Tamandua tetradactyla: one gene and its partners. The protein of the gene in region 2 purifies or fractionates together with the protein of the main gene of each other region. This does not show direct contact. Links are inferred from orthologs where the notes say so. Each region holds a gene or a part of one and is shown on either strand. Other genes may lie near its edges.

Region 1 (7,338 bases), on a different chromosome or scaffold from region 2:
CCAGACCAGTATACTTTTCACTACACCACACTGCCTTTACCATATTATGCAACCTAGTCTACAATATACATACCTCACAATTTATTCTAACATTCTCTATACCCAGATCCAGAATGTTAAAATCTAAATGACTACAAGTACCTACGTAGATTTCTGAGGCTGATATATATAATTTTGTTACCAGAATTAGGTTTAAGAAGTGCCCAAGTGTTCCTAATCACAGTATTAGGAATTTAAGGATTAAAATCAGCTGATGATCTTAGAAATCTGTTTCTACAAAATGTGTATCTGGCCTATGATTGAAGCATATATTACACAGTTTCTAATTACATTCACTTAATGTCAATCAGTTATATTGTTATTTGAGAAATATGGAATATGACTTTTTTTTACTTAAAAAGTAATATACCTGTACTGTATAAAATATTGAAAGCAATCCAAAATACTTATTGTTTTTGGTTATCTTTCTCTGCTCTGTTATTCATGATTATAACCTAAAAGCAAAATCTAAGTTGAGAAACAGCCATGAGTGCCCATGGTGCACTATGGATTATATAACAATGTATGCCAAAGATGCAAGCAAAAGAAGAACCTGATGAAATTGTGTCATGGTTTCAATAGCAGAAAGATCCAAATTCACCTTTAATGTGAAAATAAAATGGGTATTAGAAAATGAAAACAAATATCCTAAATCCACCAAACGAAGTTCTAAACATTATTTAAACTGAAAGAAGGGTCATTGGACATGTGGGAAAACTGAAAGAAGGGTCATTGGACACATGGAACCCTAACCAAAAGTGAAAACCTTTGGGGGAAGAACTGCAAAATGATAATGTCTTCTTACTAACTCCAATTCCTCCATGAAGCAAGAAAGCAAAAGCTTTAGAAAACAGTGTGCAAAACTGAGGTTGTTCTAAAAATCAAATGAAGTTAAGACTGTGAAAGCATTGGTAGACCATGAAGTACAAGTTATTATTATATAACAATTTGTAGTCTACAAGCATAGCAGTTTGCCACAGGGTAGACGTAAAGGCTTATTTAAAAACTGCAATTCTTGTATACTGACTCACTGAATTTTTATTTTTAAAAAAGAAAGAATGTTAGTCATGAAAGCTGGATCAACTACCACTTCTGAAAAAGGAATTTATCATAGCCTCAATAGAAGAAAACATGCAAAAAAATTCCCCCTCCCTTTTTTTTTTTCAAGATATGGATCTTCTTTTAGCCATGTGACCTTTAAGCAGGTCACTGTTCCTCTCTGAATCTCAGTTTCCTAATGTTTCAGGCAGTGTGTTGGGTATTTTGCCATAGTGTTTAATTGACTAATAGGATCTGTTATACAAAGTGAGATAGAAATTAACATCTCTATTTTACAGTTAAGGAAACTACAATTCAAAGGGGTTAGTTAGGAAATTATGCTGCCAACCAGGCAGCTAATAAGTGGCATATTTGATATACTGCACCTTATTCTAACTCCAAAGATCCTGTTCTTCCTAGCATATTTCCTTGAAAAATAAAAACAAGGCTGGTCTCAATAATTTCCATGATTACTCCTTGCAACAAAAATATAATCCAATATTCTTCCAAAATCAAATAGGAAAAATATGTATTTATTTGATGACTGTGAATTATATTACACTTTTAGCTCACTGCAATCTAAATTTTAGATTTTTAGAGATAACTTTTCTCGAGTCTATAAGTTTTCAGTAAGACATACTGTGTTCTTCATCGTATATGTAATGCAAAGTGTCTAAAAAATTTAAAAACTGGTAACTTTAATAGATGCCATTTTCATTCAAAGTTTTTAACATGTTTTAAAATGTCTATTCATACTGTTTTATCTTTTCTAAATTTATAGTCCTTATCGCCAATCGCTCATCTGTAAACTTGAAAATAAGCAATGTATTAAAGACAAACTGGAATATCTTCTAAAATAACTAAAATTTTTATAGAATATGAAACGGATTAGGATTTTCCAACCGTGGTTTCCCGACTGGTCTTACATTTTAGTTGTCACCGCGATCTTTAGTTACCGCTTCAGGATACGCTACTTGAAACATCCTTCCATCATAACAGACCAGCCTATGACTAATGGTGAAATTTATCTAAACTAGCCTAACTGAAGGCAGAACATTTGTTAAGATTACGAGTCCTACTCTACGGAATCGACGAAACTGAGAACCATTCGGTACTCTGGAAGACAATGTATTTAGACTCGGCGAGCTATTAATTTAACATTTACCGAGCGCCCACTACCTACCAGGTACGGAGCTTGAAAGCTGAACGTCATACAATCCTTGGCCTTTAGACTAACTGAAACTCCCAAACGGCCACGGTCTTTCTGAATTTACTACTTAGAGAAACCAGAACTGGTGGACCACACTATCTCACCAGTTCACCCTTCTACTTGAGGTGACCCAAATCCGGGCACTGGATTATCAAATCCAAATTTAAGAATGCCGAAGTGAGGAAAAAAGAAATCTACCTCGGAGCAGGTGAGCGCTGCGAGTCCCCCCAACACCCGGTATCTGCAAGGTTGTGGGGACTCCAAGGCGGACCCTGAGGGGCGCCCAGAATCCAAGAGGTCGGGGAGGCGCCTTCAGAGCCGGGACCAGGCAGAGGCGAGGACCGCCCAGGGCCGGTACCTCTTTGCGGGTCCTCGCTCACCTCTTCTACCTCGATCTCCTTGTAGTCGATCTCTTCAAAGTTGAGGACCTGGAAGGGGGTTTCGATCATCTCACCAGCCGAAGACGAGGAGGAGGAGGAGGCGGCGGAGGCTGTAGACATGATCCCTCGCGAAGCCTGGGGAGGCTGCTGCCCGGACACTCCGGGGGAGGCCCGCGCCCACCCGCCTCTGGACTGGCCTTCAGCCTGGAGCCGCGCAGCGCAGCCCAGCCACCCCGCGATCCGTGGCGGGGGCAGGGGCCGCAGCCTCAGCCGTGTCCCGGCTCCAGCTCCGGGTCGGCTGCGCTTTCCGCCACCCGGCCCCGCCCACCACACTTCCGGCTCCGGTCTGAAATCGGAAACAGGCGGAGGGTTGCGGCTGGAAGGCGGGGAGGGGAGAATTTGGGGCCTGGGAAAGAAAAAGGAAGGACAGGTTGCGGGTGGGGCATAAGGGTGAAAGGCTTGCTTGAACTTGTAAAACAAATTTCGCGAGATCTTCGTTAACAGGGACCCAGCAACGGGATGATACCGCGAGAACTCTTGCGCTGACATAATTAAAATGCGCGAACGGAAGTGGCGTGCAGCACGACTGAAGTCGTTGTGGTTGGTCCTTTAAGAAGCAGCGGGAAAGATTAAAACTACGGTTTTGCCTCTGTTTTGGTGAACTTTGTCATGACCTCACTCCGTTTAGTCTGAGCGGCTTGCAAAGAGGTCGGGATAGTATTGAACTGAGTTTTTGTGGCAACCTTACTTTTCAGTTTCAGCCCTAAGGTAAACTGAGCTGTGTTCTTAAGAAACCTCGTAGAATTTGTTTTCCTCAGTGTTTATAAAAGGAAACAGTTGCTGTTCCTTTAAACTCTGAAAGGCCGAGTGTTCACAAACAAGTCAATATTTTGTTCTTACAATATTTTCAGAGATTAGTTAGATAAGGTAGATACTTTAACATAATTTGTTGTGTTCACCTCGTTAGAGACTATATTAATAACACGTCAAGTGCAGAGCACTACCATAGATGCTTTACATTTAACTTAATCAGTAATCGCCTTGCAAATTAAAGATTTTTGTTGCCATTTTCAGTACGTATAGAAAATAAACTCGGGTTAAAACAATTACTGGTCCTCACAAGCTAGTAGAACCTGGACCAGTGTGTCTCAAAGGCTGTTGATTTTGCCTATGTTGTGTTGCCACCGCAATTTTGTTTTAAATTAGCTGCTAAACCTCAGTCAGTTTGACCTGAAGCATAACTGTGGGAAAACTGAACTTGGACATGAAGACTTAAGAATAAATATAGACGGTGGTTGAGGCAGTGGGTTTGAATAATCAACTCACTTATGGACACTGCGTGGAAGAATCACGGATGGAACCCTACGCGTATGTTGTCAAATTCTAAGTCTCAGTAGGAGACTGAAAAGTAGATTGCTATGAAATAGTCTGAATCGGGAAAGTGAGGAGAGCATTTCAATTAAGGAGTAGTCAATCAAATAAATGGGGTACACAAGGAAGTAAAAAACATTTGTGATTGCAAATAGGTCATGGGATATTCTAATCAGGAAGTTAAGAACTTCTGGAAACATTCGTTTTTTATTAGTTCTAGTGACAATGATAGTTGGACGAATGGATAAAAAAATGAAAGAATAATTTCTTCTCACTATAAGCAGTCTCTGAAGGCTCTCACAGAAGGTCTTGTTTTCCCATATGTTTCCATTCTTTTTCTAATGCTCAGATTTTCCCTGAATTTTGGACCTATTGGACATATTTACTTAGAGGTTACATAAACACCTAAACTTTATGATGCCTGAAGCAAATTTAAAATTTCTCCTCCACCAAAAGTATGTCCCTCCCTGTGCATTTCCTATCTCAGGGAAGGGTTTTATCCATTCAGTTGTCCAAGTGAGATAACAGAACATTTCTACACGTGAAATGATAGTGCACTAATAATCAAATAGAAGCAGATTAAATCAATGGGATGATCATTTCTTACCTGTCATTCCTCTCCTTGCATTACCAAACTAGGACTGCCTCTTACTTGTGCTGTTAGTCTGTAGGACAGTCTGTAGGTCCATATCTTATTTGTCTTTGATACTCTGATCAATTGATGCTACAAAGTGGGAACTCAAGAAATGTTTATTATGTTTTCTGAATGAATGAATAGCTTTTGCCAGGCCTCCCTTTCTCTGGAATACAAGATCTGTTTTCTACTCCTTTGTTTAGGAAAGTATCCTGCTGACAACCAACTAATCACTACAGCAACGATGCTGTTCTTCTTGATTTTCTTTCCAATATTTTATGAAAAATTCAAACATATTGAAAAGTTGAAAGAAGTTTACAGTGAACATCTATATACCCACCACCAAGATTCTATTAACGTTTTACTGTACCTGCCTGTTCTAGTTTGCTAGCTGCTGGAATGCAACACACCAGAGATGGATTGGCTTTAAATAAAAGGGGATTTATTTTGTTAGTTCTTCAGAGGAAAGGCAGCTAACTTTCACCTAAAGTTCTTTCTTACGTGGGAAGGCACAGGGTGATCTCTGCTGGCCTTCTCTCCAGGCCTCTGGGTTCCAGCAACTTTCCCTGGGGTTATTCTTTGTGCATCTCCAAAGGCCTGGGTTGAGCTGCGAGTGCTGAGATGAGGTATGCTGAGCTGCTTGGGCTGTGCTATGTTGAGCTGTCTCATTTAAGCACTAGCCAATTAAATCAAACATCATTCATTGCAGCAGGCAGGCCTCCTAGCCAACTACAGATGTAATGAGCAACAGATGAGGTTCACGTACCATTGGCTCATATCCACAGCAGCAGAACTAGGCACCTTCACCTGACCAAGTTGATACCTGAACCTAACTACCACATTGCGTAATCATATATCCATCCATCCATCTATCCGTGTTTTCTGTTGAATGTGTTTCACAGTGAGTATATTGCATAATTTTGATCAGCTGCTCTGATACATCTGCTTCTATATTTTACCTGGTGACTTGAACTTCTGATATTGATATTAGTCTGAAATCAATCCTTGTCCTATTGGCTTGCAGATTGCTTAAGCAGGCAAGTAGGCCCAATAACTGTCAATTCCCCTAGCCCCTCTTTCCCCACTAGTCCTTGTTACTAAATTTTATCATGTGTTTTCATTAAGCCCATCTATTATGTTTTATTCTACATTACAGAAGTTATGTATGTAGTTGAAAAGCCATCTTTAAAAAATTCTATGAATAAATTTTTCTTCATTTTTTTCTTTGTACTTTATGTTGGTGAATTGTATTTGGTGGGTGATACAAAATGTCAGTGTTTTCTCCCCTGGATTTACCCAGGGGAATTTTGAAAATACAGATCCCTTGTGGCTCACCTCCAGAGATTCTCACGTAATTGGTTTTATGTGGGGCTCAGGCATATGCATGTTTTAGAAGTTCCTCTTTTAAGATTCTAAGGTAACTTAAAGGAAGGCACAGATCAGTTTGACTCAAACAGTGAATTTTTGTTAATTTTATATTGCCTAGATGAACTACATGGAAACTTGGGCCTGGATGTCTCTATTCTTGGTCCAGAATATAAAAGCGAAATCCCTTCCTCTATATTAGAATCTAATCCTATATTAGATCCTATATTAGAGAATCTTTATCCAAGGAAAGAGTTCTTATCTTCTTCTTGAGAGTTTGTACTTATTTTGACACCTTAGCTTTTATTTAGTGACAATAGATGAAAAATAACAAAAGGGGGAAACATGGTTTTTTCTTATTATTTGTGCCGTTATTCAGTGGGATCTGTAAATGGTTTCAGATAAAAATGCTTTCAGATATTAGCAAAGGAATAAGAACACTCATGCAGTCAAGTAGTATTTAGAAAAACTATCAGGTTCTTGATCTGGAGAGATTTTTTTTTCTCTTTGTCTGCTTGGCACCTTTTCCTTAGCTTCTGATAGTAGACCATAGCCCACTGTCGACAGTGATAGGCGCCATATATTAGGTTGGACCAATCATTGTACCTGATACACATGCCTCTTGGAATCAGTCCATGTTATGGATTGAATCATATTCCCCACAAAGATATATTCATATCCTAACTGCACATCCTCTGAATATGAACTCATTGTAAATAGGCTCTTAGAAGATGCTATTAAGAGAAACCAAAATGAATCAGCATGAATCCAATATTACTGGAGTCTTTATAAGTAAAGGAAGTTTGGACATAGGAGTAGAGAGATAGATTGCCATGTGATGGAAACAAAGATAAGTTATGGATCATTAGCAAGCCACCACCAGAATACTATACACTTTGGAAAAAGCATGGTCTACCAATACCCTGATTTTAGATTTCTAGCCTCCAAAACTGTGAGACAATAAATTCCTGTTATTTAAGCCAACCAGTCTGTGGTATTTGTTATAGCAACCCTGGCAAACAAAGACAGTCCAAGCATGGTCATGCGATTTAAGGTGGGCCCAGCAGAATTTTTCCCAGAATTTTTCTAACCAGAGCTGTTAGTGAACAGTTCTGTTTGGTGACTGTGACATGCAGTCTGGGAGTTGCTTATGGCCATATTTCTCACTGAGTTAATAAAGCCTGGCCGATTGAGAGAATGAAGTGTACACCCAGTAAGAAGCAGAGATAAAATACAGAGAAAGTTCTGGAAGTAGTTGTGTCTCTGGATCCAGTCACCCCCAGGGTTCATCCACTTCTCCC
Region 2 (7,433 bases):
AGAGAAACTCTGTGTTCACCATGTGCCCTTCCACTTGAGAGAGAAACCCTGAACCTCATTGGCCTTCTTGAACCAAGGTATCTTTCCCTGGATGCCTTAGACTGGACATTTCTATAGACTTGTTTAAATTGGGACATTTTCTTGGCCTTAGAATTGTAAAATAGCAACTTATTAAATTCCCCTTTTTAAAAGCCATTCTGTTTCTGGTATATTGCATTCCGGCAGCTAGCAAGCTAGACCACCACCATAAACACAATCTGGTACAACCATGAACAATGTTAAACCCTAAATTCCAGTGAGAATGAGGCAGGAAGTAATCTGCTTCAAAAACGTCTCACCCCAGAAGATCTTTTAACTTCTTATGTCACTTACTCTGTGCAGGCCTTTCCCACTCAACCACTTCACAAAGAGTGTTTGGTGGGAAGTGTATAGATGTTCAGCAAAAATAAATAAATAAATAAAACAAAACCAGTTCTGTGTTCAAATACATTTGGAAAAGTTACTAAATAAAATTGGTTTCTTTACTACAGGATTTCTTAGAGCTCTTACTATGGTAACATGGGTTATGAATCTCCAAATGAAGGAATAGTATACGCAACATTTACCAAATGCATTTGGCCATCATATCCTTTTTGAAAGTATTTCATGGGATTAGTTTTCCCAAACACATTTTGAGACGTGCCACCCTCTTCCCCAGAAAGAATGCTTCAGTTACTATGGCCATGCTTCAATATCACTTTGCAAATACCTTTGTTATAGATTATCACATTGTATTTTAATTGTTTTCCTGCCTATCTCTTCCACTGGACCTGAGATGTTCTTGAGGGCAAGGAATACTGTTTTTGCAGATTTAGGTTTCACCAGCAACCAGTAATGTCATCAGCTAAATAATACATTTCACATTATTTTCTTTATTGTGCTTTAAAGGGTATAGATGAAATACTGGGTCATGGCTTCCACCAAACGTATGAATATCTCGAAAACTGTAAATGTAAACCCCAAGTCAGGTTTGGAAAAAGAATGATGCTGTTTCCAAGTCTTATGACAGAGTATTCCTTCTCTCCTCAATATATGCTCAGCTATCAAATGTCCTCATTTTGGGAAAAGGGTCTCTATGTACAACAGGAAATTTCTAAGATTTTAGAGGAACCCAAGTCTCTTCCATTTAAAAAGTGATAAGTTCATTCAGCCCCAAACAGAGACCAGGAGAAGCAGTCACAAAATCCTATCACCATATATGCTTCCTCTCTTATGATCGGTTGATGGGGAGGCTTAGATAACAAGACTATAGGCAACATTCCACTAAAAGCACTTTGGTTCTTTGTTTTGACTGTCTTAAGTACCGCCCCCCCCCCCACCTCCACACACACCTTCCCGGTGAGAATTACTAAACTTATTACTTCATTGGCTTCAAAGTACTTAATGCCTTAGGCTTTTACCTTCCATTTGCCCTCTTTCCAAGATTTCCTCCTATGCTCTATCTAGAAATCTGCTTCACAAAACTTCGTTCTGTTAGTGACATTTGTCACTCTGCCCCACAAACATGCCTACCGTCCCCCAGGTAGACTCCCATTTCCCCTTCTGCCTACCCACATTATGACCTCTACCCACTCCTATGTTCCTTAAAACAGCAAATCATAATTTCTTTTTTTTAATAACCTTATTCATTCACAGGCCAAATACAGGCATTTTAATATTTTCTAACTGTTCATCTTGCCCCATGTTTTTCCATTCAAATTCATTATTTACAAAATAATCTTCTTAGAACACCACTTTTACCTTACATTTCCATTTTTAAAACCAATTAATGAGGATGAAGATGATAACAGCAACAGTGATATAGCAGCAACAGCTAATATTTGCGAGCTTATCATGGGCCAGAAACAGTATACTTAGCTTTACATACATTATTATTTTATTTAACTCTCAAACAGACCCATGAAATATGTATATTATACCCATCTTACAGATGTCAAAACAAAGGCCACATTGCTGGAATTATTAACCCAAAGTCTATATACCTAAGAGGTCTGCTAATATGCTTCAGGAGACTGTAAGCCCCCTCAAATAGCAAATGCATAAGATACCCAAGGTCGTGTAGATATGCCTGTGCGTTTTTCTGGGGGTAAGGGTTCATAGCTTTTATTGGTATCTGAAAAGATACATGACTCAAACACGATTATTAACTGCTGCTACAATGGTTAAACATCTTCAATTAACTCAAAGTAAAATTCCTGGGTCCGATATTAGCTGTCCTCCACAAACTGAAATCCTTCCTCCCTCCCCAATCTTATTTCCTTCCCTTTGAAGTCATGATCATTTTCACCAGCTCGTCCTCACACAAGCAACCTGGAATGTATGTCCTATTCCAAAGCCTACCCATGCTTCCAAAGGCTTAACTCTTGGACCCACCATGAATCCTTCTCTGCTCCAGCCCCTACTAATATCCTTGGCCTCCAAGAACACACAGGTAAAAACACATTCCAACAGGCAGCCCCCATTCCTTTATCCCCGTTTTCTCATCCATTCGTGCTCACATACATTAACTCTGTACACCTGCTCCACACACCCTGACGCTCCACGTCTACAAAAAGATCTAAATATCTAAATACCTTGATACATACCAAAAATCCTCCCTAATAGCTCACTCTCACAATGACCCAGGACCACTCTCAACGTGTTCCTACAGACACAACTTCGGATTCACAAGCACGGTATCACACACACGCACGCTATGACCCACTGGCTCTCCAACACTGTCCAAGTCTCACATATATTGACAGTCACTGCGTTTCAGACAAACACCCACCACCGCACCCTCTCGCGCCCGGCCTCACCCGATGCTGGTATAGGCAGACGTTCCCGAAACCGCCGGTACCCAGGCGCTCCCGCATCTCCCAGGGCCCGCCCGCGCCCGGCCGCAGCCCTGGGGGCCGCTCCATGGGGCGGGAGGGGAAGCAACCTAACTTAACCGCTGCTCCCAGGCCGGTTCCGGGCCGCCGAGGGTCGCGCGTTTTTCTTCTCGCGAGATGTATGCGTCACTTCCGGGAACTGTCTCAGCAAAGCCCCGCCCCAAATTCTCCGGGTGCCGGCCAGAATCCTAGCGGTTAAAGGGTGGAGAAGCCAGGAAGACCTCCAAATCCACTCTTGGGAATGCTGTAATCATTTTTCTAACCTAGAGGATCCTGTGGGGTTTTTTTCCAGTCATGAAAATATAAGCTCTGTCCAGATTATACATTCCATTCAAACCATTCTCTTATATATTTTTCTTTTCCAAACTTCAGATTGCCTCCCGCCCTGTCTCACATCACCTTTTCTCAGGCTGCTCCATTTATCCTTCAACCCCACCGCCCACTGAACCGGCACTGGCAAAGGCCACCAGCTATTTAAATATTGAGGAATCTGAAGAAATCGAAAGAATCCTGCGCAAACAAGCACATTGATGCACTAGCCTTCATAGTTCACTCCCGTAAGCGTCCCGTTTGTCAGAGACCTGCAGAGCTCCAGTTTGTTTCATCTAGGCTTGTCGATTCTGGGCTCAAGTGTATGAGTCTCAGCTTATTCGTGAGTAAAATAGAGGTAATGATACCTACCTCTTGGAGGTTTCGTGAGCATTAAGTAAAATTTACTATCTGGATCATAAGTGCCCAATTATATAGGAACAATTACTTTTCTTTTGGCTTTCAAAATATGGCATTCCCCAGGGATCTCTGTGCTCCTTCTCTGTGCACTTGTTGGACCACTCTATCTCCAGGCTACTCCTTAAATATTAATTTCTCAGGTAGCCATCCTCAGCTTAGAATTTTCTTCACTCATTTTCATAATTTCATCAATGGCCTATATCTTTATGATCCCCAAATCCCTATCACCACCAATCTAGATGTCCATGAGTTTAGATCTACCCAACAACAGATGCCACATCTGTTAGATCTCTCAGGCATCTCAATCTCAACATAGCCAAAGCAGAATTCATCTTCTTTTCTTAAATCTGCCCCCTCCTCCTCCAATTAGATGTAAACTCTGAGACAACAGGGACCATGTTGGGACATGGCTATACTCCCGGAGCCTAAAAAATACCTGGCTCATAGGAGGAAATAATTGCTGAAGGACTGAATGAACTTTTGTACATCAAAATGAATGCTATGAGAAAAAATGTTAAGGATCTTAGATCTCTTCTGTACTCTGGCTTTCTCAAGGAGAGGCCACCCTGTGTGATTCTGAGATAACAACTACACCTAAAGCCTTGATACCTCCTATTACACACACCACCTCATTTCAGTAGTCACAAGTAACATGAACACAAAACACCTGTCAACAATGGAAAAGTTTATGAATTTTATTTGATGGTTTCAATGTTTTTGAAAATTTTGTTAAAACCAGGCTGTATTTGGAACTGGATGACAGACATACTTTTAATATAGGGTTTTCATGAATGTGACTTTTCCAAAATATATTCAGTCCTAGGCCTCTTACTGCAGGCAGGTTCCATAGGAATGCATGAAAAAGAGGGTGGGAAAAAGTCCCCATAGGTATATGTAGTTTCTTTAAAAACAGGCTGCTGCTACTATCTGTGAAGCTCATAAAAAATCTTTCCATTTGGTTAGTCATCCAGAGTGAAGTCAAAGGGCTCAAACTCTTTCCGGAAACAGCGAGCTAGGTTCTCCTCCTCTTCCCTGCTGATCTGACACTGCCTCCAGTCAGACTTGTCAGGAATATTAAGGATGGCTTCACTGGCCAGGACCTCCCTGAAGAAAGAATTAAAGTCAAAAGGACAGCATCAGCTGGAAATCCCCCTCCTCCCTCTGTTCCTCTCCAATCAGACAACTCCTCAGTGTTACCCAAAGAAGGTATGCAAATTCCTCTGCTTGTACCATTTTCCTGTTCTTAGTGCCATCTTTGCCATCCTATCAACATCATACCAACTTAAATGACCAGTTCAGGTCCCACCTGTTTCTTAATGCTCTGTACCCCACTAACTTCTTCCTCTATTGAACAATTTTGAATTATACTGTTAATACTTTGAGAAACAACATGACACAGTAGAAGGAGGGCAGACACTGGAGTCAGAAAGATCAGAGACTTGATTCCATTCCTAGCTCTGCCACCTGTGGTCTGTTACTTAGACAAATTACTCTATCTCTGAGTTTTTACCTCCTCACCTATGAAATGAGAATAATATCACCTACCTTACAGGGTTTTTATAAGGTGTAGGAATAACAGTCAAACCTCCACAATAGCTGTGACTACAAGTTAAACTCTAGTCTGTCATCCCAACTAGACCATAAGGGCCTAGTAAAGTGAGATACCAAGTGTCATACCCTCTCTGTCTTGAAATTCTTCTGCCTCTCCTTCCACAGAATTCAGGCCAACACAGGCAAAACTACACAAGCTCACTATCAACCAAACAACTTATCTTGACCCTCAGGACTGAAAGTTACTATATGCGGACACACTACACACAAGCTGCCTTCTAATGCCAGCGTTTTTATTTGTATTTATTTTTACTCACTTTGATATAGTAGAAATAACTCTATTTGTGCATTTATATGGCCAATATTCTACTCTGAAGCTACAATAAGTAGAAAAATTGAATTCAAATCACAGAATTCCTCTAAGTCAAAGAACTGGAGCTCAAGTTCTGTTTCCTTAGGCAAACCTCTGAGCTACTTCATCTGTTAAACAGAGAGAATATTGTCTTTATTGTATAGTTGGGAAAATGATATCTTTCTAAGTTATTTTCTTACCTATAAAATGCCACATAACTGTAAATTAGTACTCTGAAAAATACTAAATGTTGAAAATACAACCATCATGAGCACAAAACCATTTGGAAAATCTCCCTTTTGTGGGCTTTATGTGCCTGTGTGTCTGTGAATCATGAGCCTGCAAAGTCAGTGTCCACATCTTCTTGTTGCTGAGGTAAAAACAAAAAGATAATGTCTTTTTGAAAATGCAGACAATTACATTTACTAGACTTATTGAATAGTGGCAATCTCTTGGGCACATTCTACATCAGTTCAAAACTGGTTCAAGATTCACTTAAAGCCCAGTTCTAACTAGGGGTAAAAAACAGCTACAAATGAGACACCAGCTTTAGATAATCTGTTCTGCACATTTTCTATTCTCCTCTATCCTCTGTCTCTTCTTGCCAACGTCTCCGTCTTCAGTCTTGGCTTAATTTTTATCACCCTGTATGTGGTTTTTCAGTTACGTACTACCTAATATTAGGAGCAGAAATGAAGCCTCATCAAGATCTTTAGGACAATAGAGAATAATGATGTTAAGACCTCATGGTTTGGGGCAAGTCAGATGTTAACATGTGTGACAGTAATTAATGCAGAATGTGAAAATGTTTTAGGGAACAATGAAAAAGTTTTAGAAGACAATTTACTTTAGAAATTCAGGGACAATGCATGAAATTGAGACAATACATGTACAGTTCCTGGCACAGAACCTACACAGAGCATATGCTCAATTAATGGAGCAATTTTCTATGCCTGGCTGGAGTGTCCTCACCCAAATCTTTGTCCTCTAAATCTATCTCTCAGGTTCAACTTTAATCCTTTCATGAAGACTTCCATCAAGTACAAATGAGCTCTCTCTTCTCTAAATTTCTAAAGTACATTGTTCTCCAAAACTTTTTCATTGTTCCCCAAAACATTCTCATATTCTGCATTAATTACTGTCACACATGGTAACATCTGACTTGCCCTAAGTCTATATATTTCTTAGGGCAAGTACTATTCCTTATTTATCTTTGTGTTAATTGTCCATGCATCTCACTACATTGTTCATATTAGATCTAGTAAAATTACATTTAAAAGAAGAGAAGCAAACAAACCTTCCAAACTGTAAAGGAAAATTCTTTTTAATTCTGTGAAAAAGCTTCTCTCCTGTGTCAAGTTCAACATAAAAATATGCTGCTCCTGGCTGTGCAATCTAAAGTAAACAGAGTTGCATGAGTTATAGTATAAACTATAATTTAGCAAAAATTCAGTCTAAAAACCCACAAAAAAAGAAAAGATACAAGTAGTTTACAGATACCAAGTCACTTGGGGAACCAGATTTTAAAAAGCGAAATTGGTAGATATTACCAAGATCCTCCCCATGGCACACAGTCTCCTAAATACCCACCTTAGGAAATTTTTAATTACCTTCTCTTCCCCGAAAAGCACTAGGACTTGGCTGAAATGCCATCTGGATCTCTATTCTAATCAATACCCCATACTCTAATCACAAATTTTCACTTCCTACTTAACATTTTAGAATACTTTGACAGTACCTCAGGTTCAACATGTCAAAAACCTCCCCCTCCTGTTTCACCTGCTTGATGTCAGAGTGCTCTGGGATCTCCAACAGCTCTATCTGTTGCTCCTGCGCCTGGGTAATGAATGCATCTTTTATGTCATCAGTGGTGCAGCAGCTGAGTGGCA
Region 3 (8,069 bases), on a different chromosome or scaffold from region 2:
TCTAAGGCAGGGCAAGTCTGTATACCAAAATATTCATATTAACTTTCACTAGTAAGTCTATTTTTAAATAGACTTACTTAATACTTTCCCCATTTTCCAAAGATGACCACACATAAGAATGTGATGGACACTTCTGGTCACCTACCCAACTGCCATTGCCCACCCCCTTCCTTGCTAACAGAATCCTGACTTACTCATGCATCCCAATGTGACCAAAGTACTTCTCACAGGTTCTGTGATGGCAGCCTTGGGCTTTGACCCAGGTAAGCAAGAACTTGGTTAAGGTTAAGACAAATGAGCAGGAAGACACAATGGGAGTGCAATCCAGCTTAAGAAAGCATCACCATATACATTATTCCATTACAACCCTGGGCAAGTAGGTCTGACTATCATCTTTCTCAATTTACAAAAGAGGAAATTGAGATTTGTAGTTAAATGATTTGACCAAAGTGGCAGATTCTAGGACTGCCTGTATCCCTTCACTCAAACTTCCACGCTCTGTCAGGTAACACATGCCACTTCTCTGGGTTACAAACAATAATAAGTCCTTGGAAAACTCCAGATGCAAAGACCCAATCTGATAGCCTTGCTCACCTGTATTAAACGAGTATGCTACGGGAGGAAGCATGAGGCACATATGGCCTAAATTTTAAAATCACACAGAAATATGTGGTTTAAAATTAATATTCTACAGGTTAATACAGTCAATCATTTTTACCAGAATATAACATCCAGCCAAGGCCTAGAAAACTACCTACTGTTTCCAAATTCCCAGATCATGCTAGTGGTATTAACATGTGATGGATTAATAGACATCAAATAGCAGTTAGAAAGTTGATATTTGGGGAATTTTTCTTAATATTCATAATCCCGAAAATACAATGTATCCCTGGGGCTCAATACAGCATAGAGGAAAATAAAAGTTAAAGGTAATCATTATGATTATCAGTCTTGATAGTGACGATACATTCCAGATTTCATTTTAAACAAGACCAGTCTTCACTTCTTGGTTACTGAAGAACTACCGTCTCCCACATTTCTAAACTGACTACAATTTTTCTTATCATGACCTCGCCAGTAGTTACCAAATGCAGAGTATGAAATCACGCTGTACATCAAACTTCACTCGGTGCCTTGGTTTCTCCATGGGTAAATCAGGGATGAAGCCTGATGCAGCAAGGATGAAGAGTCATGTCAACACGAAGGACTTCTCCCAGCTACTTGGATGATAACCGCCCCGTGGCTGCCCAAGATAAAAAGAGTTCTGAGCCAAGGTGGAGGCAAGCAATGAGTAAAGGACGAGGATACGAACAACCGGCTCCTGTGGCTTCCTATCTAGTGGCTAGGAGAGCACAGTTCAGCTTGTGCTGTCCCGAACCCTGTTGTGCTTCTTAAATGCAAATGTCCCCGGCTCCTGTCGCCCTTTTGTCGCTGTAGCCGGGGGACCGCAACTGCTGCAATGGCAGTTGGGTAGGTGACCAGAAGTGTCCATCACATTCTTATGTATGGTCATCTTTGGAAAATGGGGAAAGTATTAAGTAAGTCTATTTAAAAACAGACTTACTAGTGAAAGTTAATATGAATATTTTGGTATACAGACTTGCCCTGCCTTAGAGGTAATTTGTGAATTTTCTTGGAATTTCCTGTTCATTTCAATAGAGCAAACTTGCTTCCAAGTGCCAAAATTCATAGCCATTTTATGCAAAATAATGAACAAATTCCATTATAAATGGACGCCATCACACTGTAAGTTGAAATGAGTTATGATAACAGATGGTAATATGTTAGTGAACCTTCTTTAATTACTCTCTAACACTGAGTCCTAAGAAAGTTTGCTACCCCCTACATTCATATAGGGGGTACCTATACTCCCCGCAACACAGGCCGGCTCCCGTGGAAACATGCTTCTAAGAAGGGACAGATTCTGAGTGTCGCCGCAACCGCCCCAAGTGCACAGAAAACAGCCCTGCCCAGCCTGGTAATCGCTGTCGCCCTCCCGGGGCCACACCAGGCCCCGCTTTTCCTTAACGATACTGCAATGCAAATAAAAAGTAATCACTCCCCCAACGACAACTGCAGCAGCGACGGGGCTGTGCCCGTTCCGCCACATCCTGGCTCGGGACAGCGGCGTCCAGCCTGGGCGGCCGGCGGCGCGCTGGAAGCGGAAGCTCGGCCTTTCCTAGAGGCGCCGCGCGCGGCCCCGGGGGCGCGGCCTCGGCGCAGACGCTCCGCGCTCAGGCTGACTTTCGCTTCCGTGGCTCGCAGGCCCTGCCCCGCCGGGACTAAGGCAGAAAACCCCGACCGAAGGGTCCCCCGGGCAAGAAGTGTAAGAAGACAGAGCCCAGGGGAGGGCAGCCTGGCGCCGGCCGCCCCGCGCCCTGGCCCCGCACAGCTCCGCGCCCACCAAACCCGCTCACCCCCGCGCTCAGCCCGGCAGTCCACAGCGTCCAGCTCCCTTGGCCCCGCCGTCCACGGCAGTTCACGGGGTCCGCAGCATCCAGCGTCCTCAGTCCCGCCAGCCCCGCCGCGCCCCGCGCCCAGCTCGGCTCTTCGTGACAGGAGATCGATAAACCACGAAGGGCGTGGACAGCTGCTGCCCCACCTCCTGCCCCTCCTCCAGGAGCTTGTACCCCGGAAGCCAGGCGCTCGCCCCCGTCGCCCGGCTCGCCGTGATCCGTGGGTGCTGGGGCGGCGGGAGTGGGGCGGGTGTCCAAGAAACTTCGCGAAGCCCAAGTGCCCTTCCACCGCCCGTGGGCTTTACCTCGGCCCTTGTCAGATCTCCCAGATACAAACTCCGGCGAGCAGCCTTCTCCCTTTCACTTCAGGAGGCCAGAGCTTCTGTCAGAGGATCGCGTTTATCCTGCCTTTTATAGCGGGTACAAAGACCAAAAGACTTACCAGATCCTGGGGCCCACCCCCGCGGGAGGAGGCGGGCGCAGGGGAATGCCGGGCTACGCCGCCCAGTGCCAGAAACTTGGCGCGCGCTGGCCAGCACTCTGCATCCGGTAAGTGGGGCAGCGAAATCCACTCTGTAGGGGAGTTAATGAGGTGTCTCTTCTACAGCCTTATAAAATGGAGCTTGGGAGGTCTAAAGCAAAAAAAAAAAAAAAAAAAAAAAAAAAAAAAAAAGAAAAAGGAAATACGGGAGACAAGCTTCCCAGCCAAGGCGGCCGGCGCCACACTTTTGCGGGCGGCTTCGAGTCCGCGACTACAAGTCTCGGATCAGAGGGCTATCCAAAGTCTGGGCTGGCAAATCTGATTCCGAGTCTTGCTGCAGCGAGACCCCCGAGCGGCCGCAGCGGCGGCGGTCCGAGCTAATCCCTCCCTCCTTCCGGGCTGGCTGAGAGACTCGGAGAGACAAGCTTCCCAGCCAAGGCGGCCGGCGCGACACTTTTGCGGGCGGCTTTGAGTCCGTGACTACAAGTCTCGGATCAGAGGGCTATCCAAAGTCTGGGCTGGCAAGTCTGATTGTGAGACGTGGCTGCGGCGAGACCCCTGAGCGGCCGCAGCTGCGGCGGTCCGAGCTAATCCCTCCCTCCTTCCCGGGCCGGCTGAGAGTATCCGAGAAGTAAGTTCCCCAAGCCGAGGCAGGCGGCGCCCTTCTTTTGCAGGCGGCTTCGAGTCCTGGCTTTAAGTCCGCGGCTACGAGTCCCGGATCAGAGGGCTATCCAAAGTCTGGGCTGGTTAGACTGACTGCGAGACTCGGCTGCAGTGAGACCCCCGAGCGGCGTGCGATCTCCCGATCAGCGGCAGCTGCGGTGGTCCGAGCTACTCCCTCCCCCCTTTCCGGGCCGGCTGAGAGTATTGGAGAAGCAAGTTTCCCAAGCCGAGGCAGGTGGCACCCCTCTTTTGCGGGCGGCTTCGAGTCTCTGCTTTGAGTCCGCGGATACGAGTCTCAGATAGGAGGGCTATCCAAGCCGCGGAAGCCCCCCCCCCACGGGAGGCTTCCTGGTCCGGTGGGGAATCCCCCAGGCCCGCTGCGGCCCGCAACCAGCCACAGGGTCCCCTCAAGCTGCGGCAGCTGATGCCCCCACCACGCGCGGCCCCTGAACCAACGGAGAGATTTGGATCCGAAAGCCCCAGGCCACGGAGATCGGTGACTGGGGGAGACCCATTCCAAACACTTGAGACAAACGTGTGCCACGTGCGCCACGTACTGGGCAAGATAAGAAAAACAGATCCCAGAGATTTCACAGAAAAATCTTACAACCTTGCTGGGTCCAACACCCAGAGAAATCTGAATAAATGCCCAGACGCCAGCAGCAGAAGATAACTGTCCATGCTCAAAAGATTGAGAATATGGCCCAGTCAAAGGAACAAACCAATAGCTCAAATGAGACACAAGAGCTGAGACAACTAATCCTGAATATACGAACAGAAATGGAAAACCTCTTCAAAAATGAAATCGATAAATTGAGGGAGGACATGAAGAGGACATGGGCTGAACATAAAGAAGAAATAGAAAAACTGAAAAAACAAATCGCAGAACTTATGGAAGTGAAGGATAAAGTAGCAAACATAGAAAAAATAATGGATAGTTACAATGATAGATTTAAAGAGACAGAAGATAGAATTAGTGATTTGGAGGATGGAACATCTGAATTCCAAAAAGAAACAGAAACTATAGGGAAAAGAATGGAGAAATTTGAACAGGGTATCAGGGAACTCAAGGACAATATGAACCGCACAAATATATGTGTTGTGGGTGTCCCAGAAGGAGAAGAGAAGGGGAAAGGAGGAGAAAAACTAATGGAAGAAATTATCACTGAAAATTTCCCAACTCTTATGAAAGACCTAAAATTACAGATCCAAGAAGTGCAGCGCACCCCAAAGAGATTAGACCCAAATAGGCGTTCTCCAAGACACTTACTAGTTAGAATGTCAGAGGTCAATGAGAAAGAGAGGATCTTGAAAGCAGCAAGAGAAAAACAATCCATCACATACAAGGGAAACCCAATAAGACTATGTGTAGATTTCTCAGCAGAAACCATGGAAGCTAGAAGACAGTGGGATGATATATTTAAAATACTAAAAGAGAAAAACTGCCAACCAAGACTCCTATATCCAGCAAAATTATCCTTCAAAAATGAGGGAGAAATTAAAACATTCTCAGACAAAAAGTCACTGAAAGAATTCGTGACCAAGAGACCAGCTCTGCAAGAAATACTAAAGGGAGCATTAGAGTCAGATACAAAAAGACAGAAGAGAGAGATATGGAAAAGAGTGTAGAAAGAAGGAAAATCAGATATGATATATATAATACAAAAGGCAAAATGTTAGAGGAAAATATTATCCAAACAGTAATAACACTAAATGTCAATGGACTGAATTCCCCAATCAAAAGACATAGATTGGCAGAATGGATTAAAAAACAGGATCCTTCTATATGCTGTCTACAGGAAACACATCTTAGACCCAAAGATAAACATAGGTTGAAAGTGAAAGGTTGGGAAAAGATATTTCATGCAAATAACAACCAGAAAAGAGCAGGAGTGGCTATACTAATATCCAACAAATTAGACTTCAAATGTAAAGCAGTTAAAAGAGACAAAGAAGGACACTATATACTAATAAAAGGAACAATTAAACAAGAAGACATAACAATCATAAATATTTACGCACCAAACCAGAATGCCCCAAAATACGTGAGGAATACACTGCAAACACTGAAAAGGGAAATAGACTCATATACTATAATAGTTGGAGACTTCAACTCACCACTCTCATCAAGGGACAGAACATCTAGACAGAAGATCAACAAAGAAATAGAGAATCTGAATATTACTATAAATGAACTAGACTTAATAGACATTTATAGGACATTACATCCCACAACAGCAGGATACACCTTTTTCTCAAGTGCTCATGGATCATTCTCAAAAATAGACCATATGCTGGGTCACAAAGCAAGTCTTAACAAATTTAAAAAGATTGAAATCTTACACAACACTTTCTCGGACCATAAAGGAATGATGTTGGAAATCAATAATAGGCAGAGTGCCAGAAAATTCACAAATACGTGGAGGCTCAACAACACACTCCTAAACAACGAGTGGGTCAAAGAAGAAATTGCTAGAGAAATTAGCAAATACCTCGAGGCGAATGAAAATGAAAACACAACATATCAAAACTTATGGGACGCAGCAAAGGCAGTGCTAAGAGGGAAATTTATTGCTCTAAATGCCTATATCAGAAAAGAAGAAAAGGCAAAAATTCAGGAATTAACTATCCATTTGGAAGAACTGGAGAAAGAACAGCAAGCTAACCCCAAAGCAAGCAAAAGGAAAGAAATAACAAAGATTAGAGCACAAATAAATGAAATTGAAAACATGAAAACAATAGAGAAAATCAATAAGGCCAGAAGTTGGTTCTATGAGAAAATCAATAAGATTGATGGGCCCTTAGCAAGATTGACAAAAAGAAGAAGAGAAAGGATGCAAATAAATAAGATCAGAAATGGAAGAGGAGACATAACTACTGACCTCACAAAAATAAAGGAGGTAATAACAGGATACTATGAATAACTTTACGCTAATAAATACAACAATTTAGAGGAAATGGACGGGTTCCTGGAAAGACATGAACAACCAACTCTGACTCAAGAAGAGATAGATGATCTCAACAAACCAATCACAAGTAAAGAAATCGAAGCAGTCATTCAAAAGCTTCCTAAAAAGAAAAGTCCAGGACCAGACGGCTTCACATGTGAATTCTATCAAACATTCCAGAAAGAATTAGTACCAACTCTCCTCAAACTCTTCAAAAAAATCGAAGTGGAGGGAAAACTACCTAACTCATTCTATGAAGCCAACATTACCCTCATACCAAAACCAGGCAAAGATATTACAAGAAAAGAAAACTACAGGCCGATCTCTCTAATGAATATTGATGCAAAAATCCTCAATAAAATTCTAGCAAATCGTATCCAACAACACATTAAAAGAATTATTCATCATGACCAAGTAGGATTCATCCCAGGTATGCAAGGATGGTTCAACATAAGAAAATCAATTAATGTAATACACCATATCAACAAATTAAAGCAGAAAAATCACATGATCATCTCAATTGATGCAGAGAAGGCATTTGACAAGATTCAACATCCTTTCCTGTTGAAAACACTTCAAAGGATAGGAATACAAGGGAACTTCCTTAAAATGATAGAGGGAATATATGAAAAACCCACAGCTAATATCATCCTTAATGGGGAAAAATTGAAAACGTTCCCCCTAAGATCAGGAACAAGACAAGGATGTCCACTATCACCACTATTATTCAACATTGTGTTCGAGGTTCTAGCCAGAGCAATTAGACAAGAAAAAGAAATACAAGGCATCAAAATTGGAAAGGAAGAAGTAAAACTATCTCTGTTTGCAGACGATATGATACTATACGTCGAAAACCCGGAAAAATCCACAACAAAACTACTAGAGCTAATAAATGAGTACAGCAAAGTAGCAGGTTACAAGATCAACATTCAAAAATCTGTAGCATTTCTATACACTAGCAATGAACAAGCAGAGGGGGAAATCAAGAAACGAATCCCATTTACAATTGCAACTAAAAGAATAAAATACCTAGGAATAAATTTAACTAAAGAGACAAAAGACCTATACAAAGAAAACTACAAAAAACTGCTAAAAGAAATCACAGAAGACCTAAACAGATGGAAGGGCATACCGTGTTCATGGATTGGAAGACTAAATATAGTTAAGATGTCAATCCTACCTAAATTGATTTACAGATTCAATGCAATACCAATCAAAATCCCAACAACTTATTTTTCAGAAATAGAAAAACCAATAAGCAAATTTATCTGGAAGGGCAGGGTGCCCCGAATTGCTAAAAACATCTTGAGGAAAAAAAACGAAGCTGGAGGTCTTGCGCTGCCAAACTTTAAGGCATATTATGAAGCCACAGTGGTCAAAACAGCATGGTATTGGCATAAAGATAGATATATCGACCAATGGAATCGAATAGAGTGCTCAGATATAGACCCTCTCATCTATGGTCATTTGATCTTTGATAAGGGAGTCAAGCCAACTCACCTGGGACAGAACAGTCTCTTC
Region 4 (7,949 bases), on a different chromosome or scaffold from region 2:
GGTCCCAGGGTTGCTGCGGCTGCCCACCGCCAGCTCAGACCCAAGGCAGGCACCGGGCCAAGCCAAGCAGCCCTGCCTGCCCTCAGGAGCCCTTGGGCCGTGCCCCAGGCTGCAGTGTGCCAGGCCTTGGAACGCCTCACTGTCCTCGCTGCCTTCCAGGAAAGCCGGGCGGGAGGCTGGCAGCCGCTCCTCCAACCCACCCACCCACACCAGCTAGGCGGCCTCTCTGCTGGCCAGTCTGTAGGCTGAGCCTTGGCCCCTCAGTCCCTCAAACCAGGCGCCCCTCGAGGCTGTGACCCCAACGCCACGAGGGGATGTGGGGCCCTAGATGCTCACCCCAGCCAGGCCAGAAGCCTCAGAAGGCAGCCCGCCTGGTGGCTCCGCTCAGGCTTGCAGACCCAGGAGCCCCCCGCGGCGTCCGCGCCCGCATGCACTGACCTCGCTTGTGGAGCCAGCCCTCCTTCACGATGGCTACGTCACTCATGGTGCCCAGCTCTGCAGCCGCTGTGGCCAGACGTCACCCTCAGGCTCCTTCTAGGACCAGGTCTCCAGAGCCCAGCAGGCCTGCCCTCACGCTGGGGGAAGCAGAGAGTGGGTGAGGGTATGTCCTGCATTCAGGCCAGCCCCTCTGTCCCTGCAACCACATCCTGCGCCCAGCTCACCTCAGGGTCCCAGCTTCGGCACAGCCTTCCAGCTCTTCCCCTCCACTTTCTCTCTCCCCAAAGCCCTGCTCCAGCCTCATGTTCCCCTCTGACCCTGCCCCCTGCCCCCTGGGCTGGGCACTCCTGGCCTGAGCTTCAAGCCCCTTTAGCTTCCCTCCCCCAACCCCCAGACTTCGGGTCCTCAGCCACGCCCCTGTGGGCCTTGCCCATCCCCTCCTTCCCTGGTCCCCGTCCCCAGAGGACCCTCCCAGCCCATCCCAGCCTCCCGAACCTGCCAGCCCCAGCGTCCAGGCTGCCCCAGCCTGCCTCCCCAACGCCTTGGCCACGGGTGCCCGTTAGTTCTCCTTGCCCGGGCTGCTTCTACCCGGAGGCTGGGAATCCCGGCCCAGGCTGGGGCACCGCCGCCCTGAGCCCCAGACTGGGGAAGGAGAGAAGCTCAAACATGAAGAGGACTGAGTTGGGAGCACAGGCAGCTGGAGCAAATGAGAGCCCAGAGTTGTCCAGGGCGGCGTGAAAAACCTCGCCACGGAAACCCCCAGGCCCCTCCTAAACCACAGCCCCTGCCAGTCTGAATCTGGTTCATTCATTCGGCCCATGTGTGCCAGGCAACTCTGGTTTTGCCAGGTCCAGTGCTGGGACTGAAGGACAAACAGAGGTTCAGACTGGTCCTGTCAGTGAGGGGCACCCAGTCCAGGATGGTTACAGACCCATAATCACAGCATTCAGAGGCAACAAAAGGGGAGGGGGGCACAGTACAAACGGCAGAGCACTGGCGCCTGCCCCACGGCAGCCCACCAGCCAGCTCTCACTCAAGCAGACACGCTGGCCATGGATTTTGCGTGGCCTTCTCCACCACTCCCCTGCTGGATGGACTCCTAGGCATCCCTCAAAACCCAGATTCCATGTCACCGGCTCTGGGCATTCTGGGAAAGAGCACTTGGCATGCTCTTCCTCTGGGCAGTCCTCTGCTACCCCTCTAGATGGGCACTCCTGAGGGCAGGCTTGGAAGAAACTCTCCCCTGGGACCCATCTAAAGCAGCAGGGAGGGCCACAGCCCATCTCCAACACCAGACCCCCAAGAGGGCCGGGCCCAACACACTTGGCAGGCCATGGGCAGTGAGACTGTAGGACACTGGTACCAAGAAAAGTGCTCTGAGTCACAGCACAGTGAGCACAGAGGGTGCTCTGCTGAGATTTGAGGGGTACTGCCCAGAGGCAGGGGACTGGACTCACCTCCCAATACCCCCAACCCCAGCCCCAGGCTGTAGGACTCCAGCAGACATGCTCCAGGACTGGTACCGACGGAGCTGGGCAGCTGCCGAGAGCCCACCAGCCCCTGTGCGTGCACTCAGGGTGGCATGTGCACAGCTGTACAAGCTAGGCAGCCGCAGGGCAGCAGAACACCCCAACTTCCCGGGCATTATGGCTGTCACAGCTTTCCTCTTACACTCCAGGCTCTGTCACAGCCACCTTCCTCTGCCCTGAGACACAGTGGAAATGGGTGTTCAGCTGGGGGGCAGGAACGAAGCTCCCTTAGAGAAGAGCAGCTCCTTCTGGAGCAAGCTGGGAGCCCAGGAGTGAATGTGGGGGCCACTTCGGGCCCCTGCGTCTGCCCACCAGGACAGTATTCAGGACCGTTCTGGCTGGGGAGAGTCATCGACTGCCCCAGGACCCCTCAGTCTAGGTCAAAGCCACAGTGTCCTCCAGGCTCCAGCATCAGCGATGGGTAGGCAGCACCCCCAGAGCCCACTACAGCAGGAAGCAGTTGGGGGCCCTGGAGGAAAGGCCCCAGCCACGGGAAGGGAACTGGCATGGGGATGGGGGGTAGCAGTATCCCTGGTGGGCTAGCCTGGGCATCGGGCCACCGGCTACAACTTCGGGGCTGGGGGGAAATGAGGTCTCGTCCCCACTGGCAAACTTGAACGCGGGCTCGATCCAAGCTTTCTCCTCACGCTGCCCCAGTACCGCCGGGACCCGCCTTGCCGGCCAGGCGTCCCGCTGGTGCCACGGCCCCCCAGGCCCCCAGGCAGCGCCCGGCCCCGGCTCCAGGCTGCCCCGCAGAGCCGCCCCCCAAGGTCACGGGGGAGAGGCAGGCCGGCGGGGCCCGCAGCCCCGGCCGCCCGCGCCCTCCCCGCGCCCTCCCGCCCGGCGCCGCTCGGCCACTTCCTGCTCGGGGCCTCCATTCCGGCTGCGCCGCGGCCCGCGCCCGCCCGGGAACAAAGCGCCCGGCCCGCGCGGGACATCCGGGCCCCGCCCGCGCCGAGGGGACTCACCGGGTGCCGCGTCCAGCGAGCGCGGGCCTAGCCGGGCCGGAGCCTCCGGCGCCCGCCGCTCCGCATCCCCGGCCGCGCTCGGGCCCGGCGCTTGGCGGTGCGGGCGGGGAGGCCGCGGCGGGCGGGCGGGGGGCGCGCTGCCTCGGGCCGGGCCTCGCCGCCGCCGCCGCCGCCGCCCGGGCCTCGGTGCTCGCCGCCGGCTCCGGCCGCTCGGGGCTGCGCTGGCTGCGCTGGGCCGGCCGCCCCCGCCTCGCTCCTCCCGCCGCGGCCTCCCCGCCCTCCGCCCGCCTCCCGCCGCCCGCCGCCCGCCTCCCGCCTCCCGGAGCCGCCCGCCCACATCCGCCTCCGCCGCCCCCGCCGGCCCCAGGGAGGGCGGCAGCGCCCGGTGGGCACCCGGCTGGCCCCGCCGCGGGGACCGCACAGCCGGGCCACAAGCCGCAGACTCTCCAACCTCAGTTTCCCCGTTTGTAATGCCAAAGCTGCTCTGACCCTGTGAGGACAGGCAGGCAGAGAGTAGTCTCACTTTCATTCTGTGCCTGCTCCAGGCAGGGTGCTGGGGGCCTGGGGGCCAGAGGCCAAGTGGAGGGGGCCCTCCAAAGCTGGCATGCAGTTCCTACAGCCAGGGGCTGAACCCCTTCATCTAGAACTGAAGGGCCCTGGGAGGGGAGCCCTGGTCCCCTAGAGAAGGGCTGGAAGCAAAGGGGGCTTAGGAAGGGGGCTGCATTCTCCCCCACACACCTCCTGGCCGTGCCTGGATCGGAGCTGGGTGCAGATAGCCAGAGGGACTGGGGTCCTGGGTGTTTTGGGGTTGGGGGCTACAGCAGACTCAAGAGTAGACTCCTGAGACAGTGCAGGACCCTGCTGAGCCCCAGGGGGGCTCCAGGCATCCCAAGTCCACTGAAGGGCAACTGGGGGCTGGCCGGAGGCAGGGACTCCAAGTGGGATTCTGAGGGTGGGAGTGAAGCCCCCTCTACCTGCAGGGCACTGAGGGTAGTGGCCAGCCCCAATACCTCCCTGAGCTGAAGTCTCTCCAACAGTTGACCAACACCCCCCACCCCCACACACACACACACCCCGAGCCTCTGGGCTGGTGATAATCTTTGGTAAAAGGAGGGCTCCAGCTGAGTCACCCAATGAGGTTGGTAAGTATTTGGGGATGGGTGCGGGTCATTTTTGTTTTTCATCTGGGGTCAGAGTTCAGTTGGTGGGGATGGGGGGTGAGGTGAGGCAGGCAGTCTGGGCCAGAGGCTCACCGTGGACCAGCTTCCGGGGCTCTGGCCTTGCCTCTGGGGGCTAACTACGGAGGGACTGGGGCAGGCAGGGAACATCCTCTGGGTCCTGGAGTCTCATCTGACACCTATGCTCACTTCCACTCCCCCATCCCCTCTCCCCAGCACAGCTGGCCCAGCTCCGGCTGTGTAGGCCCAGGAGGGGCCATCTAGGTCAGAGGTCAGGTCAGAGGTCAAGTCAGAGGTCAGGTCAGAAGCTGGGCCCGTCTCTGCCCTGAGGCTTGCCCCCCACAGCCTGGGTGTCCTGCTTCTGTGTCTTCTATCCCTTACTCACTGGTCGCACCTGTCCACTGCTCTCCAGTTCCAAGGAGGCTCTTCCTCGTCCCCTCCTGCAGTACACTAGATGCCCCCCCCCCACCGCCCCATCCTTGCCGGTTGGGGGAAAAAAGCTGAGGGGTCAGCCGGGAGGCTGGGGACAGGGGCCTGGGGATGGGAGGCTGAGTGGCCACTCGCGGGCCTGGAGGGCGCCCTCTCATGGCAGAGACTGTGACTGCCCAGGCCACCTTCCCTGCCTGCCTGGGAAATGGCATCCGGGCCAGAGGTTTCACTGTTGGTTTCACTGGCCAACTTGCTCATTGCTCTCCCTGAACCCTGTACCCATCAAGCCTCACACCCATCCCTTCTGGCCTCCCAGAGAAAAGGCAGACGCCCCTCCTCAAAGACACCCCTCTGCCCTGCCCCTCCCCAGACTGTCATAAGGAGAGGGTCCACATTGCTGGGACCACCAGAGCCCTCCTTGGCCAGGTGTTTTCAACAAAAACTGCTGCCTACTCCCCCACCCCATCCCGAGGGCGGTGCATGGGTCTCCTGCCCTGTCGCCTCCCGCAGCTGCTGCCCGCTGCCCTGGGACAGGACTACATATTCTTGGCAGCAGCTGCAGGGCGGGGCCTCAGGGCAGCCCCCAGGCCAGATGGTGGCCTGCGGACACGTTTAGGGAGGCTCTGCTCACACTGGCCCATGCTGGTGGCTCTGCCACTGCTTCCACACTGGTCTGGAGAAGGGGTCCCCCAAGGTTCACAGACCACGTGGCCTTGGACGGCCCTTCCTTCAGGCTTGGGAGGCAGACCCCACCCCCATCCCCAGGAGTGCCCGCCGCCCAGGCCCATGGCCAGGCTCCTGCGGCAGCTTCCAGACCTGTCGATTCCGCTCCGCTCCACATCCACAACCCCTGCCAAGCCTGGGTCCCCTTGTCCCTTTTCTGTGCCCCAGGGCCTCTTCAGCTGCATCAAGGAGTTGTCAGCCGGGGCCCCAACGTGGCCTCCCAGCCTCTTAGGGCCCAGGGCCTGGGGGTACAGCTCCTGATGGCTGGGCTGCCATGGAGGGCAGCAGGACACACAGACACCAGTAACAGAAAGCACCACTGTACATCCACTCAGCAGGTATTGGTGAGACCCACTAGTACCGGGCCGACTTTTTAAGCACCAAGGATGCGACAGTGAACAAAATCCAGGCCCTTCCTTCCACAGGGAGATGGGGGGCAGGGCAGGGGAGAGAAGAAAGAGCAAGGACTGACAGATACTGTGACGCACTAGAAGGCGGAGGCCCATGAGCGGAAGGTGGGGAGACGCAGGCTGGGGAGAGCGGCTGCAGAGTTAAGGAAAAGTCATTCTCCCAAGGGGACATATGAGCAGAGCCCGGGAGGGGCATTCTGGAACCTCTTGAACAAAGACCACCCTTGCTCCCGTTTCACGGATTAGGAGATTAAGGCCCGGCAGGGTTAAGGGTCGCAGCCCAGGCTGGGAAGGGGTCAGAGGCAGACCTCAGGGGCACCTGTGCTCAGAATTCCTGGAACTCAGCTATTCCTGTGGGGTGGAGGTGGGGGGTAATCATTCAGATGGAAGGGGGAGAGCTGGGCTCCCCACCCGGACAGAACCAGGGCTCTGCTGTCCCTCAGCTGGCTGCAAAGGGAGTGGTTCCAGGGGCCCAAGCTGCAGCTGCCAGATTTAACAAACAGAAACCCAGGGTGCCTGGTGGAATTTGAATTTGGATAAACCACAAATTACTTTTCATTGCAGTTTGTGACCTTCCCTCCCTAAAGATGGTGGGATCTATTAGCTAGGCAGGCCCCAAGACCTCCAAGTGCCCCAGGACCCCCAAGTACCAGGCCCCTGAGTAGCCCCCTGCACACCTCCCCTCTCCCTCCTCCTGGCACCCCTTCCTCCAGGGTCAGGGAAGGGTGCTTGCAGGCTGCACTCCTCCTGTCTCTTCCTCTCCCCACCCCCCTCCTGTCCTTGGAAATCAAGTCCTCCTCCAGCCCTGTTCTCAACACAAGTCCAGGGCCTGCCTGGGGACTGCACCAGCCCCAGGGGCCACCCAAGCACTCCCATCGGCCTCCATATGTGGCTCCCCAGGGGTGGGGTTCAGGATCAGACTGGGGGGATTGGCCCCAATTCACAAGGCCAGCGGCCCTGTGCACCTTACCTACCCTACCGGCCCAAACGGGAATGACACGAATAACCAGCTCCGCGGATGCGCTTAGCTGGTGTCTTCGAATCCGCCACGCCTTGCCGCGGGAAATGGTCGCGGAGGGCCGTGCACCCTTACACCCCACAGTGGGACCCCAGCCTCTCCAAACTCCTCTCCCCGCAGAACTAGGTGTTCCCTCCCACGCCTTGGCGCTGCCCCTTCCACCCCGGCCGCCCTGCCCCTGGGGAACAAATCCCGCGGGGCCGCCTGTCTCTCCCAGGACGCTGGTGCTTCCGCCCTGGGCTCTCGAGGCACCTCGGTCTCCCGCCCTCACTGCGTTTTCCCGCGTCCCGCCGCGTCTGCTGCGGCTGGTGCTTTCCCCGTGCCTCTCGGACAAAACCTGGCGCACCTGGCACCCAGTAGACTTTCGGTTAGGGTTTGCTGAGAGGGTGGGTGCCCCCTGTCCTGGACCTCAAGGTCGAGATCCCGCTTGAGTGTTTGGACGCTTCAGACCAAGGGACGTCATCTTTTCAAAATTTAAGAAGCCGCCGCCCCCTCTCGGATCCCAGGGCCGGCGCCCTGCGTGGTGGCGGGAGACCGGGGCCCGGGTGGCTGCGCCCTTGAGTGACCGTCCCGATGCGCAGAGGCGGTGGGGCGGGCTCTCAGGGGTGGGAGTGGGGTTCCTCTAAAGACGGGTGCAGTCGGGACCCCCGGGAACACCGAGGCGGAGGCGGCAAGTATCGCGAGAGGGTCCCCCAACACACCGCACCCCGCACCCGGCCCCCTGCCGCGGGCCCCAGCTGGCGGCGAGAGGGGACCAGGCCGGGTGGGAACGCGGTGGGGCGAGGCGGCCAAGGAAGGGGCGGCCAGGATGACCTCAGCGGTTCCGTCGCTCCGGGAAGTCGCCTCGACCCGCCCCCTCCAGCCCCCGCCCGAGTTTCGCTCTCTCCCGGGCGGGGCGAGTGGCGGGCGGGGCCCAGCCGGCCAAGTTGGAGCGCGTCCCGCACCCACCCTCCCCGCTACCCGAGCGCCCTCCCCGCCCCTCCCGCACCCTCCCCGCTTCCTGAGCGCCCTCCCCGCCGCGGCGCGCTGCCCGCAGTTCCTTGCGGGACCCACGGGGCGGGCGCGCGGCGGCCGGAGAAAAACTTGGGGCGGTGGAGGTGAGCGCAGGGGGCGGGCGCCAGGCTCTGCCCCGCCTGCCGGGCCGGCTCCCGGGCCGCGCTGCCATAAATGGGGCCGGCGGCGGCGGCGGCGGCGGCGGCGGCGGCATCTGGCGGGCCGGGCGGACAGCTGGAGGCGGCGCGGAGGCGGGGAGAGCC

The links.
Region 1: the proteins of CHUK (region 2) and MAP3K7 purify together in Homo sapiens (affinity purification with western blotting; 9 studies listed by BioGRID and IntAct, with this or other methods). This does not show direct contact. The link is inferred for Tamandua tetradactyla from reciprocal best matches to the Homo sapiens genes CHUK and MAP3K7.
Region 3: the proteins of CHUK (region 2) and RIPK1 purify together in Homo sapiens (affinity purification with western blotting; 3 studies listed by BioGRID, with this or other methods). This does not show direct contact. The link is inferred for Tamandua tetradactyla from reciprocal best matches to the Homo sapiens genes CHUK and RIPK1.
Region 4: the proteins of CHUK (region 2) and AKT1 purify together in Homo sapiens (affinity purification with western blotting; 5 studies listed by BioGRID). This does not show direct contact. The link is inferred for Tamandua tetradactyla from reciprocal best matches to the Homo sapiens genes CHUK and AKT1.

Annotation. Positions count from the first base shown.
Region 1 is NC_135331.1:147,859,894-147,867,231, forward strand, and holds the start of MAP3K7 (mitogen-activated protein kinase kinase kinase 7), read right to left. Parts: upstream 3,010-7,338; 5' UTR 2,788-3,009; coding exon 2,668-2,787; exon of another isoform or gene 2,646-2,667; intron 1-2,645. UniProt on the Homo sapiens protein: Serine/threonine kinase which acts as an essential component of the MAP kinase signal transduction pathway. Plays an important role in the cascades of cellular responses evoked by changes in the environment.
Region 2 is NC_135339.1:61,763,911-61,771,343, forward strand, and holds the start of CHUK (inhibitor of nuclear factor kappa-B kinase subunit alpha), read right to left. Parts: upstream 3,023-7,433; 5' UTR 2,943-3,022; coding exon 2,838-2,942; intron 1-2,837. Other genes in the region: CWF19L1 (CWF19-like protein 1), read right to left, coding at 4,601-4,745, 6,842-6,939, 7,324-7,433.
Region 3 is NC_135351.1:4,962,295-4,970,363, reverse strand, and holds the start of RIPK1 (receptor-interacting serine/threonine-protein kinase 1), read right to left. Parts: upstream 3,010-8,069; 5' UTR 2,899-3,009; intron 2,886-2,898; exon of another isoform or gene 2,762-2,885; intron 2,594-2,761; exon of another isoform or gene 2,418-2,593; intron 1-2,417. UniProt on the Homo sapiens protein: Serine-threonine kinase which is a key regulator of TNF-mediated apoptosis, necroptosis and inflammatory pathways.
Region 4 is NC_135340.1:87,905,005-87,912,953, reverse strand, and holds the start of AKT1 (RAC-alpha serine/threonine-protein kinase), read right to left. Parts: upstream 3,010-7,949; 5' UTR 2,936-3,009; intron 576-2,935; 5' UTR 485-575; coding exon 439-484; intron 1-438. UniProt on the Homo sapiens protein: AKT1 is one of 3 closely related serine/threonine-protein kinases (AKT1, AKT2 and AKT3) called the AKT kinase, and which regulate many processes including metabolism, proliferation, cell survival, growth and angiogenesis.